2 linked regions of the Drosophila melanogaster genome follow. The gene in region 2 interacts genetically with the main gene of each other region. Each region holds a gene or a part of one and is shown on either strand. Other genes may lie near its edges.

What was found.
Region 1: of fs(1)K10 (region 2) and grk, changing one suppresses a phenotype caused by changing the other (phenotypic suppression), as found in Drosophila melanogaster (one study listed by BioGRID).

Annotation. Positions count from the first base shown.
Region 1 is NT_033779.5:8,430,542-8,435,690, forward strand, and holds grk (gurken), read right to left. Parts: upstream 3,058-5,149; 5' UTR 2,874-3,057; intron 2,732-2,873; 5' UTR 2,542-2,731; coding exon 2,472-2,541; intron 1,954-2,471; coding exon 1,336-1,953; intron 1,201-1,335; coding exon 1,001-1,200; 3' UTR 545-1,000; downstream 1-544. Other genes in the region: D12, read right to left, coding at 3,668-5,149. UniProt on the Drosophila melanogaster protein: Critical for defining the anterior-posterior and dorsal-ventral axes of the egg. May signal directly to dorsal follicle cells through the receptor torpedo (top).
Region 2 is NC_004354.4:2,240,251-2,246,594, reverse strand, and holds fs(1)K10 (female sterile (1) K10), read right to left. Parts: upstream 4,458-6,344; 5' UTR 4,287-4,457; coding exon 2,991-4,286; intron 2,139-2,990; coding exon 2,043-2,138; 3' UTR 554-2,042; downstream 1-553. Other genes in the region: Or2a (odorant receptor 2a), read right to left, coding at 1-364; kz (kurz), read left to right, coding at 4,693-4,767, 4,836-5,027, 5,089-6,344. UniProt on the Drosophila melanogaster protein: May be involved in localization of sqd to the oocyte during oogenesis.

The sequences.
Region 1 (5,149 bases), on a different chromosome or scaffold from region 2:
TTTAAATAATTTTTGTACGAACTTCATATCCCTAATCCAAGATATACGCAAGCAAAAGTCCGAGTTACACGCGACACCACCATCCACGCCACCAATGCAACCACTGCAACCAATCACCACGCCCCACTCAAACACCACCCACGCGCAGGAATCAATAGTTTTTTTTATTGATGCCTCTCAATTCCAGATCGGGTTAAGTCCCCAAAAACACATCCATCACCCATCAAGCACACACCATCCACCACACAAGCGCATACATACCATTCTCATATTGATGATCTTGATAGCGAAAGAATCAACAAATCATATACGATGAAATGATGAAAGTGAGGAGAATTTTTTGAATAATTTCTACTATACATTTAACTGTAAGTTCGAAGAAATTTGTAAAGAATTTTTGGACGAAATATTGGATAAAATATATATTATAAAATATAAAACCCAAAAGCGTGCTTCACTCATATCCGCCGGCTGAAAAAAAAAAACGAGAGAGATAGAAACGAGATACGAGATACGATGAACCGCAGAAAGGAAACAATGTTTTGAATGTTTTAATTCTGTTTCGAGTCGAGTCCCAATCCTCTTCTTTAATACACTACCAAAATAGTTTTTCTTTACAATATACACAATGTAACAGAGTGTTACGAAAATAATCACTTGTCCTGGTAACTGGAGTAAGCGCTAAGATTACATTATATTTCGTAATGGTTAATTTAACGTAACAAAATGTTACTACAAACAAACTACAAAAGCTCCAACGAAAGCTTCAAAAGCGAAACAAACGAAACTAAGAAATGATAAAGAAAAGCAAATACTAACTTGTGCGTCTTTTGCAACTAAATAGAAAATCCTACTAAGTACACTAAATGTATTCAATAAATTAAAGCGTTAATTTTACGCTGCGCAACGTAAAGAAATATGGTCAACAAGAATTTGCCATCCAACAAAGAGGAGGCTTATATAGGTGAAACCAAATTGTTTCCAAATCAAATTCTAAATCTCAGCATCTGACAAAAAAGCGCTGCTTATGCAGGTGTAGTTGCTGCTGCTTCCGGCGATAATCCGGCACATTGCGGAGCATGAAAACGGCTGCGAAGAGAACGTAGAGCGACGACAGCATGAGGAGTACGGGAAAGGAGAAGACGATGTGCGCCATTCGGACCTTCCGCTGCGCTGTTGGAGGCGAATAGATGTAGTCACCTGCAATGATCAATGAGTTCATTTAGTTACCATGTACTGGGTACAGACTAATAGATATCGTTAGTTCCATCCGTTCCATACAACACAGGAAGAGACTTCTGTGAATGGATGGCTATGCTAGAGTAGAGTACCTACCATTCCAGCTCTTGTAGGCGCACCGCTCTCCATCGTAGTCGTTAACGCAGAGGCAGGAATGGAAGACTGTGTTGTTCACCATCGGATGCTGGAAGCAGTGGCCGCCGTTCAGGCAAAAGCTAGTATTGTAAGCTTCGCTGCAGGGCAGCATCTGAATCTCTGTCTCCTTGTCGTTCGGGCTGGGAGTCGTGGAGTCAGGCGTGCTGGACGAACTGGGGTCAGGTGGCGGTTCTCCGGTGTGGGTAACAGTTTCGGGTGTTGTCACTGTCTCGGAATCAGTGATTGGTGTGCTGCTTTCGCTGGCCAACCAGGTGTCGGTACTGGATCCGAGAATTATCCCATCCTGTTCCGGATCCGCAGCAATGGAGTCGTCTGCGTTTGGCAGTTGGCCGCCCGAGTCCGGATTGGGATCCGTATCGGGATGCAGCTGGTCTGCCTCCTCCTGGGCCGAGGCCTCCAGTTGCTTGCGCTGCAGCTCCAGGCGATTGAGCAACTCAACCGCGGTCTCCTGGATCTGCTGCTGCAGCTCGTGCGCATGCTCGTGCATGTGGCTGTGCTGATGCTGCACAATTTTCAGCGTATGCTCTCGGAGAAGTAAGATTCGGCTCGAACAACAATCTGCAGAATACAGAAGAAGGTGTGCGATTAAGAAAACAGGACATTTCCAGTGATCGCAAAGATACAGAATAGATAACGTTGTAAAGCTCAAGTTGAAGTACAAAAAGCTTTCAGTTTTTAGTGCGGCAACTTTTGAAATTATCATAAAAATGTCTCCCTATGGTATTATTATTACTAATTTTTTTAATTTTTAAGAATGCAAAGTTTGTTCATAAGGACAGTATTTAAATGAAACTCAAAAAAATCTTTAGAAATAATTCACAAATATGTATATTATCTGAAGTTTACTTCATTCATCATCCACGAACAGAAAGCTAATACAGGATTTTACACAGTTTTCAAGGAAGTTTTAGTTTTTTAGCATAACAAGTATATAATCAGCACTGCAAATATTTTATGATTTGTTGTAGCTGTTTTCCAGTTTTTTCGACGCTAGAAATAGCTTTTTTTGTGGGAGAGCCTGGCAATACTGGCCGTAATATTGGAATCTAAAAATCAGGTGGAGATTATGTACGTACCTGTGACGGCGACAATTGTTGAGAGCACGAAAATTACTTTGAAAATCCGAGTAAATGGGATTTGCATCATTGGAAAACGCTTGGGGTGGCGCTCCGAAAAATATTGATTGGGTGGACCGATTGTCCACCACTAGGAAAACTGAGTCAATGAAGGGGTCTAAACGATCGAGGGATCGAGCGGCGTGCTGGCCGCAAATGCAATTTGGCGTCGCAACAGAAGCTGAAACATACTACACACTTGCATCTCCTTGTGGATTTTACTGCAAAATAAAAATAGAACATTTTAGCGCCTCCACATTTTCTGTCGCACGAACGCACACACACGAAACAAAAAAAAAAGGAAAAGAAATAGCATTCAAAATTGGTGATCCAAAAGCTTTTCATAGATTATCTTAGACGTACTGGAGCTGCTATATGGCCTGTAGAAGGCTTCGACATTATAATTATTATAATGACTCGTGAATCATTTTATATATCAGGCAAGTAATTAATTAGTTAATCTAAAGAGCAGCAAGCGCGGGAAGCGGGCTCTTCTCTGCTCCACTTTGATTTTAGGTCTTGTTGCGCGCACGTCGGAAAAGAGACTGAGGAAAACAGAGCCAGAGAAACAGATGGACCTCATCCCTACATTGGCGGCATTGGCATGCGCCATGAATGAAATCGATCGGTGAGCGGGGAGAGCGAAGAGAGCGCCCCCAAAAGAGATGCGATTGCGACCGATAATAGTCGAAGAATCATATGGATATGCTAAGAGCTGCAAAAAAAAACCGCCCTTTAACAGTTATTCAATTTGTTAACGGCACTTTTCACTGCATACTTCTAGGGCACTATAAAGATATATTACTCTGTGAAGATAGCTGATAAGACTTAAAAATGTTTACATGTTTCGTACAAATATGCAATTGTAGCGATTATTATTTATATTGATAAAACAATTTAAAAGTCTTCAGCCAGATATTCAAAATTTAAAAATTAATGACCACTCATCTCATGATTTCGTCCAAAATATGATAATCGTTGATAATTAAAAACGCAGTATTCATTTCTTCGGACATTAATTTAGTTAATTTATTGCTTAGATTTATGCTTACCAACGAGTACAAGGCTCTAATTAGATATCAACTAATATCCCAGTAGAATTTGAACTATGACGCGGACTTGATAAAAAATAAATTCAAAACAATGGCAACTGCACATTAGATTTGTGGTTCTATCGGAGCAACTCCCAAGTGACTGTTTCCGAGGAAATCCAATTCGGAACACAGACTGATGACACGGCCTATGTCCTGAGGTTGGAGACACAACGGAGCATTGGCCGCCGCCGGTGGCAACTGTTCCAAAGTCTCCTGTTGCAGTTTCGCCGCCAAGGAGCGGCGCACCAATTTCTCAATAAAAGTGCGCAGCACTTGTCCGAGCATCGAGAGAGCCAGTGGCTGGGAGACGCCAGGCGGAGATTCCTCCGGTTCCAGTGTGATATTAATGTCCTTGCACATTTCCTGGACCAGCTGCAAGGTCGAATCCAAGTGCTTCGGCGGAGGTAGATAAAGTAGTTGGCGATGATTCACCATTTGGAAAGATACATCTGCTGAGTTTGTTAACCTGGACGCAAGCGGATGAGGTTTGTCCACACCCAACACATCGATGAACTCCTTATCCCGCATCTGTTGATCATGACCAAGCAGACGATCGGATTGCTTGGTTATCCAAGCTTCCAGCCGATTGCCTGAGCTGAGACTGCTATAGGCCGACAGTTGCGGTTGGGGCTCGCCCTTTAGTTGCGCCTGAACACGCCGAGCCAGTTGCTCCTCATCGCTCAGTTTTTGTTTTCTCTTTTCATGCACGACAGGTAAAACATCTTTGAGAGCTGGCGTATAACCATGAACCCTGGCGAACGCCACTATCTCCCGTAAACTCCAGTAGTGTTCCTTTCCACTAATGTCCAACTTATGCAGCTCGTGGTGCTGCATCAGACAGCGACGGAGCATACGTGCGCGCAGGTACTCAAAGCAACGTTGTTTTAGAGCAGTGTGATTGTGGAACTCTTCGAGGGTTATACAAGTGAATGGATACTCCTTTTGCTGATCAATCGACGCAAGCGGGAGGCGGCTCAGCAGGAACTCCACAGCACTGCGCATATTTCGGAATTGTGCACTTCTAAAGATGTGCTCCAGCCTTCGGGGTCGCGATTGTATGGTAGTGTCCACAATTGGAGGTAACAGCATTGGCTTTTCCTCCATCTCGCCGCTCATGTTGGCGTACCCATGATCGTGCTGCATGCACTGCAGCATATGCCATCGCGTTTCTGACGGTGGCTTAAGAAGACTCAATTGTGGTTTCAGCAGGGATTGTTGCTTTGCAGCCTGCTTAAGCTTGCGCTGCAAGGGATCGATAATGTACAGCTTTCCTGCTCTCTGAAACACAACATTCTTCTTGCCCTGGTGATGGCCATTGGGCACAGGCTTTATTGGTGGCCGATCCGACGAGGATTCCTTCCACGCTCTCTGCGGAGATGCCGGTGGATAGTGCTTTACTGGCGAAAACTCCTGCCGCTGCCTTTCTGGCAAGGATTCCTGCCTAGGACTTCGGCCGTTTACTGGCAGATAGACCACAGAAGGCTTCGAAGCGGTGACCTGAGCCGCATTTAACCGAAGTTGAGTCCTAGGAGGCGATGACGGAGT
Region 2 (6,344 bases):
CAGAAATCTCCTCGGGATCGCCCACCAGCCGGGCTCTAGCGTCCATGAGCCTTAGGAGAGAGCGAATCTCATGGAGCTGCTTCCTCACCATGTACACATTCGCAAACTTCAAATTGGCCACAATATCGGTAATAGTTATGGTCAGGTTCTCGCACAATCCGGCCATGTTGGTGGTGAACAGCAGCCTGGCCAGCAAGCTCAAGGGAAACAGCACGGTGACCACCAAGTTGACCGTAATGGAGTATACCACGTAAAGCAGGCTTGAAACGCCCGGAGGACGCATCAGGCCAGTGAGCTCCCAAACGCGCCAGTGGTAGTACACAGCACTGTGGGTGTTCAGTTTGAAATCCTCTTGCTTCTCCATTGTCTCGGTTACCTTTGGGCAAATCCATGGGTTCTATTGCCTATATACTCTTGCGATTACCAGTGATTGCGCTATTAGCTATTAGATGGATTGTTGGCCAAACTTGTCGCTTAAGTGGCTGGGAATTGTAACCGTAGGCCCGAGTGTAATGATCCCCCATAAAAAGTTTTCGCAATGCCTTTATTTTTTGTTGCAAATCTCTCTTTATTCTGCGGTATTCTTCATTATTGCGGGGATGGGGAAAGTGTTTATATAGAAGCAACTTACGATTGAACCCAAATGCACCTGACAAGCAAGGTCAAAGGGCCAGATTTTTAAATATATTATTTAGTCTTAGGACTCTCTATTTGCAATTAAATTACTTTGCTACCTGAGGGTTAAATATTCCCCATTGATAATAATAATTCCACTATATGTTCAATTGGGTTTCACCGCGCTTAGTTACATGACGAGCCCTAACGAGCCGTCGGTGGTCTATAAACTGTGCCTTACAAATACTTGTAACTCTTCTCGTTTTGAAGTCAGCAGAGTTATTGCTAATTGCTAATTGCTAATTGCTTTTAACTGATTTCTTCGAAATTGGTGCTATGTTTATGGCGCTATTAACAAGTATGAATGTCAGGTTTAACCAGGGGATGCTTAATTGTGTTCTCAACTTCAAAGGCAGAAATGTTTACTCTTGACCATGGGTTTAGGTATAATGTTAACTGGTTGGGAGATTGGTGCTATACTAGAGTTTTTACGTTGGGTCCCCTAGGCTCTACTATTCCGCTAAGTGGGGCTGCTTTGGCGTTACTTGTCAGGTGGATCCGGTCATGAAGATCAAGAGCGTGATTAATCTACAAGTCGGTAAAGAGAACAGCGGAATTGGGTCAGGGACGGGGTTGGGTGGGGAAAAAGAACACAAAAACAAATCCGTAGATGCACACCATCGAGCACACGTTCACAGAGTGATCTTAATTTGTAGTTTTTAAGAATTAATTTAAAAATACAATCAAGTGGTGTAATCTAAGGCCTACAGTGTGATTTATGCCAGAGTGCTTAGGATCCGGCCACTCTGTTTCAATTATGTCGCGCCCACGCACTCGGGCAACGAATAGGAAAATAATTTATATATATATATATATCAATATATATGCATACATATATAGGTAAGGGCGTGTCATAAATTGTGTACACATACTTGAAATGGCTGCAACTTAGAATTGAACAACAAATAGTTTTCGAATAGGAAACTGGTACGTTACGTTACGTTACGGTTACATTTCAATACTCTACTTTACGTTACGCTAGGTTACGTTAGACAAGTGAATCGATTCGCAATCTAAATTTTTATCGCTATTACTAGAGTTTCGCCCACATTATTATCGCTGGGTTTGTATTTGTTGCTACATTATCGTTCTAAGCTCAGTTCTCAGTCGCAAAAGCAACGTGTGACAAAGGCGGCGCCTCCTCGGATTACGATTGTGTATACGTATATCCGATATAGGAGTCGGGGTTTTGAGTTATATTCGTCTTCAATTGTCAGACTCTTGCTGTTGCTCGCTGTTAGTTTTAGTTTTGAATTGCTCATTGGTTTAAAGTTTAAGTTTACATTTAGTTCTGTGAGTCGACCGACCTCTTCTTTAGTCGGTTCGATTCGATTGATTCGGTATTCGGATTCGGTTGCATTGGCTGCCTAGGGATTTGGAATTGTTGCATCTTTAGCGCTTCCGGCCTTAGGGGCTGCGCTCTGACTTGAAATTGCGTTTTTGTCTTTGTCTGACTTGGCATCCTGCAAAAGAAATACGAGAATTGCCAACGGTGTTCAATAGCAAGGTTGTTGAGTGTGTAAAAAGAGCTCTCAGATCTGTTTTCGCTATTAAATGCATTCTGCGAACTTCTCTTGGCTATTTCCAGATAACTACGCCCACGAACATTAATCACTCAAATCATTATCATTTCATATGCAATGAGTTTCATAAGTTGGGTTATATCTGCTAATTAAGTAACTAAATTGATGTTCTGGCAGTTTAAAATTCATTAAGTTCGCTTTTCACATGCCAACCAAATTGGAAAATGAAAACAGCCATAGGATTCAGTACTGAGGCTCGTTCAATTAAGAATATTAAGTTACTAAGAGTGCATTTATGAATCTACTACGCCTGCCACGATCGAACAGTACAAAATTCTATTAGTTTTTTAAATTTGTATACAAGGTGGCAGTAAACACATTGTATTGCAGTTCTAAATAGTTACACAATTTTGTTCAGTTCCTAATAAATCTATGGTTGTAAATATATGCCAATAGTTTCTCTTTTGCGGATATATATCAGTGCCAAGGGAACAACCGAAGGTGAAAATAGATATGACAACAACCTTCCGCAGGACTGCAGGATAATGCGAGAGAGTGCATCAGGTTGAGACTTACTTTTTCACTTTCTCTGCTCTCTTATTTTTTTCCTACCGCCCGGCAAACGCAACAAAGAGGGACGGGTGGGGGTTACGGATCAAATCAGGGGTGCAAAGTGATTCCGGATTAAGCCGAAACTGTACCCGGAATCGGTGTGCCTCCCTGAATAGAGCTTCGGATGGGACACCTGTTCCAAGGGAATAAGGATATGTTGGGGGGTCTCTATATGCTCACCTTGGCCTTGACAGTGGCTGCCTCCTGCTTGAGATACTCTTCCCGCGCCGCTTCGTAGAGACTAACGAACTTGTCCCGCTGGCCCTTGTACTGAGCGAAGAGCTCGTCGTCTTTGTGGCCCTTCAATCTGTTCTCGATGTCCACCTTCTTGTCGTGCTCGCTGCGTATCTCGTCCGTTACCCAGGGCTTTTCGATGGGATACTGATTGATCAGGTTCTTTAGTGTCTTTATGCTGCTCTTGCCTTTCACCACCTGCTTGATTAGCTTGGGATTGGGCTTCATTATCCGGCCGCCATTCATGTTCATTGGTCCATAAGGTCCGACCGGTGGAATTCCCCGCGGCGGCATCCGTGGACCCATCATGTGCATGGGCGGTGGGACACCCATCATAGGACCTGGACCGGGTCCGTTGCGACGCATAAAGAGCGGTGGCGGCGGCGGTGGTGGTCCACCCATGGGGCCCATGGGTCCGGGACCGCGCATACCAGGCACCGGTGGCGGGAAAGGCATTTGCGGGTAAGGTCCTCCAGGGCCCATCGGTCCGGGTCCCCGTGGTCCGGGGCCCATCGGACCCATTGGCGGACCCATCATGAGGCGTGGAGGAGGACGGTTCGGAGGCGGCCCGCGTTGGAATCCATTAAAGCCACCGCGAATCTGATTGGGATTGTTGCCCGGATGGCGCTGCCAATCGCTTCCGTTCATCTGATTGTTGAAGGGCTGCTGCGACTGGTTCATATGATTGTTGTTCTGGTTGTTCATCTTGCCCTGCTGCTGGTTCGGACTGAGATGCTGCTGCTGGTTCGAATTGGGATGCTGCTGCTGGTTCGGACTGGGATGCTGCTGCTGGTTCGGACTGGGATGCTGCTGCTGGTTCGGACTGGGAGGCTGCTGCTGGTTCGGACTGGGATGCTGCTGCTGTTTGATGCCCTTCATAGACTTCTTCTTGGGACTGCCTACCTGATTGTGTTTGAATCCTGGTGGCGGGCTGCTGAAGTCAATGTACAGGGGATCGCTCGGCATTTGGCTGGAGGAAAACATCATCTGATTGTTACCGTTGACCCTGTTACCATTCCCATTTCCTCCTGGTCCGGAGTTAATTTTGCCCGAACGAAACGGTTTTCTATACGGAGCCGCAGCTGCGCGGGGATTATTGTTGCAATTATTATTGTTGCTCTGGTTGTTGCGGTGCTGCAGATTTGGCTGCTGCTGTTGCTGAAACTGTTGCTGCATTTGGTGCGGGTGCTGCTGCTGCGACTGCATGGTCCAGTTCTGATAGAATTGGTTCTTGGACACCATTGCAGGTAGCTGGATTTCACTGAAAACGGGGGTTCAGGACTCGAGCAGAGGAGCCAAGCCGAAACGACAGGCGGGGAGCAGATGGATCTAAAATGTTGCACGCCTATTTGTCACAAAAACTTATATTGAAAATATTACGATGAATCGATTGCGATAACGTTTCGATACCAGTGCTGTCGAAGGAGTGTGAACAACTATAACAATCAGTTTTTCCCACTAATGTATGTTTCCACTAACACAAATGTAACATCACAGCACATTTTAGAGTATCTCAACTTTTGTTATCGCCTGCGCTGTTATCGATAAGCGTACTTCGCACGTGTGATTTAAATCAATGTTTATATTATTGCCCAAAGTTAATTCTGTTACTTTATTTTATTAACTATATTGGTAAAGTAAAGTAATCATGGGCAAGAAGGTGCACAATGCCAAGGCGCGGCAGAATCCACAAACAATTGTGGACAACTCGGCCGTGAAGAAGGTAGGTCATCCGTCGGACCACACACTCGAATCCGCTTTCTTACCCTTTCCAAATCCAATACTCTACAGATTCAGATCGATGTGGATGCTGTGGCCGGCGGCAACCAGGTTGGCTACGATGAGGCCAACGCTCTGGTTCTGCCCTCCGAGAAGCGGGCCACCAAGATTAAGGTGGACAAAGTGCAACACGTGAAGATCCTTTCCAAGAAGCAGCGCAAGCACCTCCAGGCTATTGTGGACAAGAAGAAAAAGAAAGAGGGTGTAGGTTTTTATTCAGTGCTAATATAAAACTGATATTTAATTGAAATCTTTTCTAATTTAGCGCGCTCAGCTGTTGGGTGACCTTGCTGCCGTTCAAATTCCGGAGGAGGAGCTGCAGCAGTATACTTCCATTAGCCAAGTGCAAACCGTGGGATTAAAGCGTCTACCCACCCTTGACGAGTATCTAGCCAAGAAAAAGGAAAGACAGGCCCAAGTTTTAGCTGAAAAAAGCTCGGCGTCGGGTCTCCGCGTAAATGCTATAAAGGGCTCCAAGCGCAAGCTTCTCGTCGAAGAGGAGGAGGAACTACAGGCCAAGCGAAAGAATCCGAATGTAATTAGCGTGGAGGAAGATGACGAAGATTCTTCATCCTCTGATGAGGACGATGAGGAGGCACCAGCTCAATCCGCTCCTATTGCCATACCCACTCCAGTGTCTATAGCTCCACCGCAAATCGCTGTTAAACCACCCATTAAAAAGTTGAAGCCAGAGCCTAACCCACCTGCCTGTATCCACCAGACTGTCTATGTGCCCGTACATCGGACAACAGAAGTTCAGAATGCCCGTCTTCGACTGCCTATCCTCGCGGAGGAGCAGCAGGTGATGGAGACAATCAACGAAAACCCCATTGTGATCGTGGCTGGTGAGACTGGCTCTGGAAAGACTACCCAGCTACCGCAGTTCCTGTACGAAGCGGGGTATGCCCAGCACAAGATGATTGGAGTGACGGAGCCGCGGCGAGTGGCTGCTATTGCCATGTCCAAGCGGGTGGCCCACGAGATGAACCTGCCGGAGAGCGAGGTGTCATACCTCATTCGCTTCGAGGGAAACGTAACACCAGCGACGCGCATTAAATTCATGACAGATGGTGTGTTGCTTAAGGAGATCGAAACTGACTTTCTGCTTAGTAAGTACTCAGTGATCATCCTGGACGAGGCGCACGAGCGCAGTGTTTACACAGACATCCTAGTGGGTCTCCTGTCAAGGATCGTGCCCTTGCGTCACAAACGCGGGCAGCCGCTGAAGCTGATCATTATGTCTGCCACTTTGCGGGTATCCGATTTTACAGAGAATACTCGCTTGTTTAAGATTCCGCCACCGTTGCTTAAAGTGGAGGCTCGACAATTTCCGGTGACTATTCACTTCCAGAAGCGCACACCTGATGACTATGTGGCGGAGGCTTACCGCAAGACCTTAAAAATCCATAATAAGCTTCCGGAAGGCGGCATACTAATTTTTGTGACGGGACAGCAGGAGGTCAACCAACTGGTGCGCAAGCTGCGACGTACGTTTCCGTATCATCATGCGCCAACCAAGGA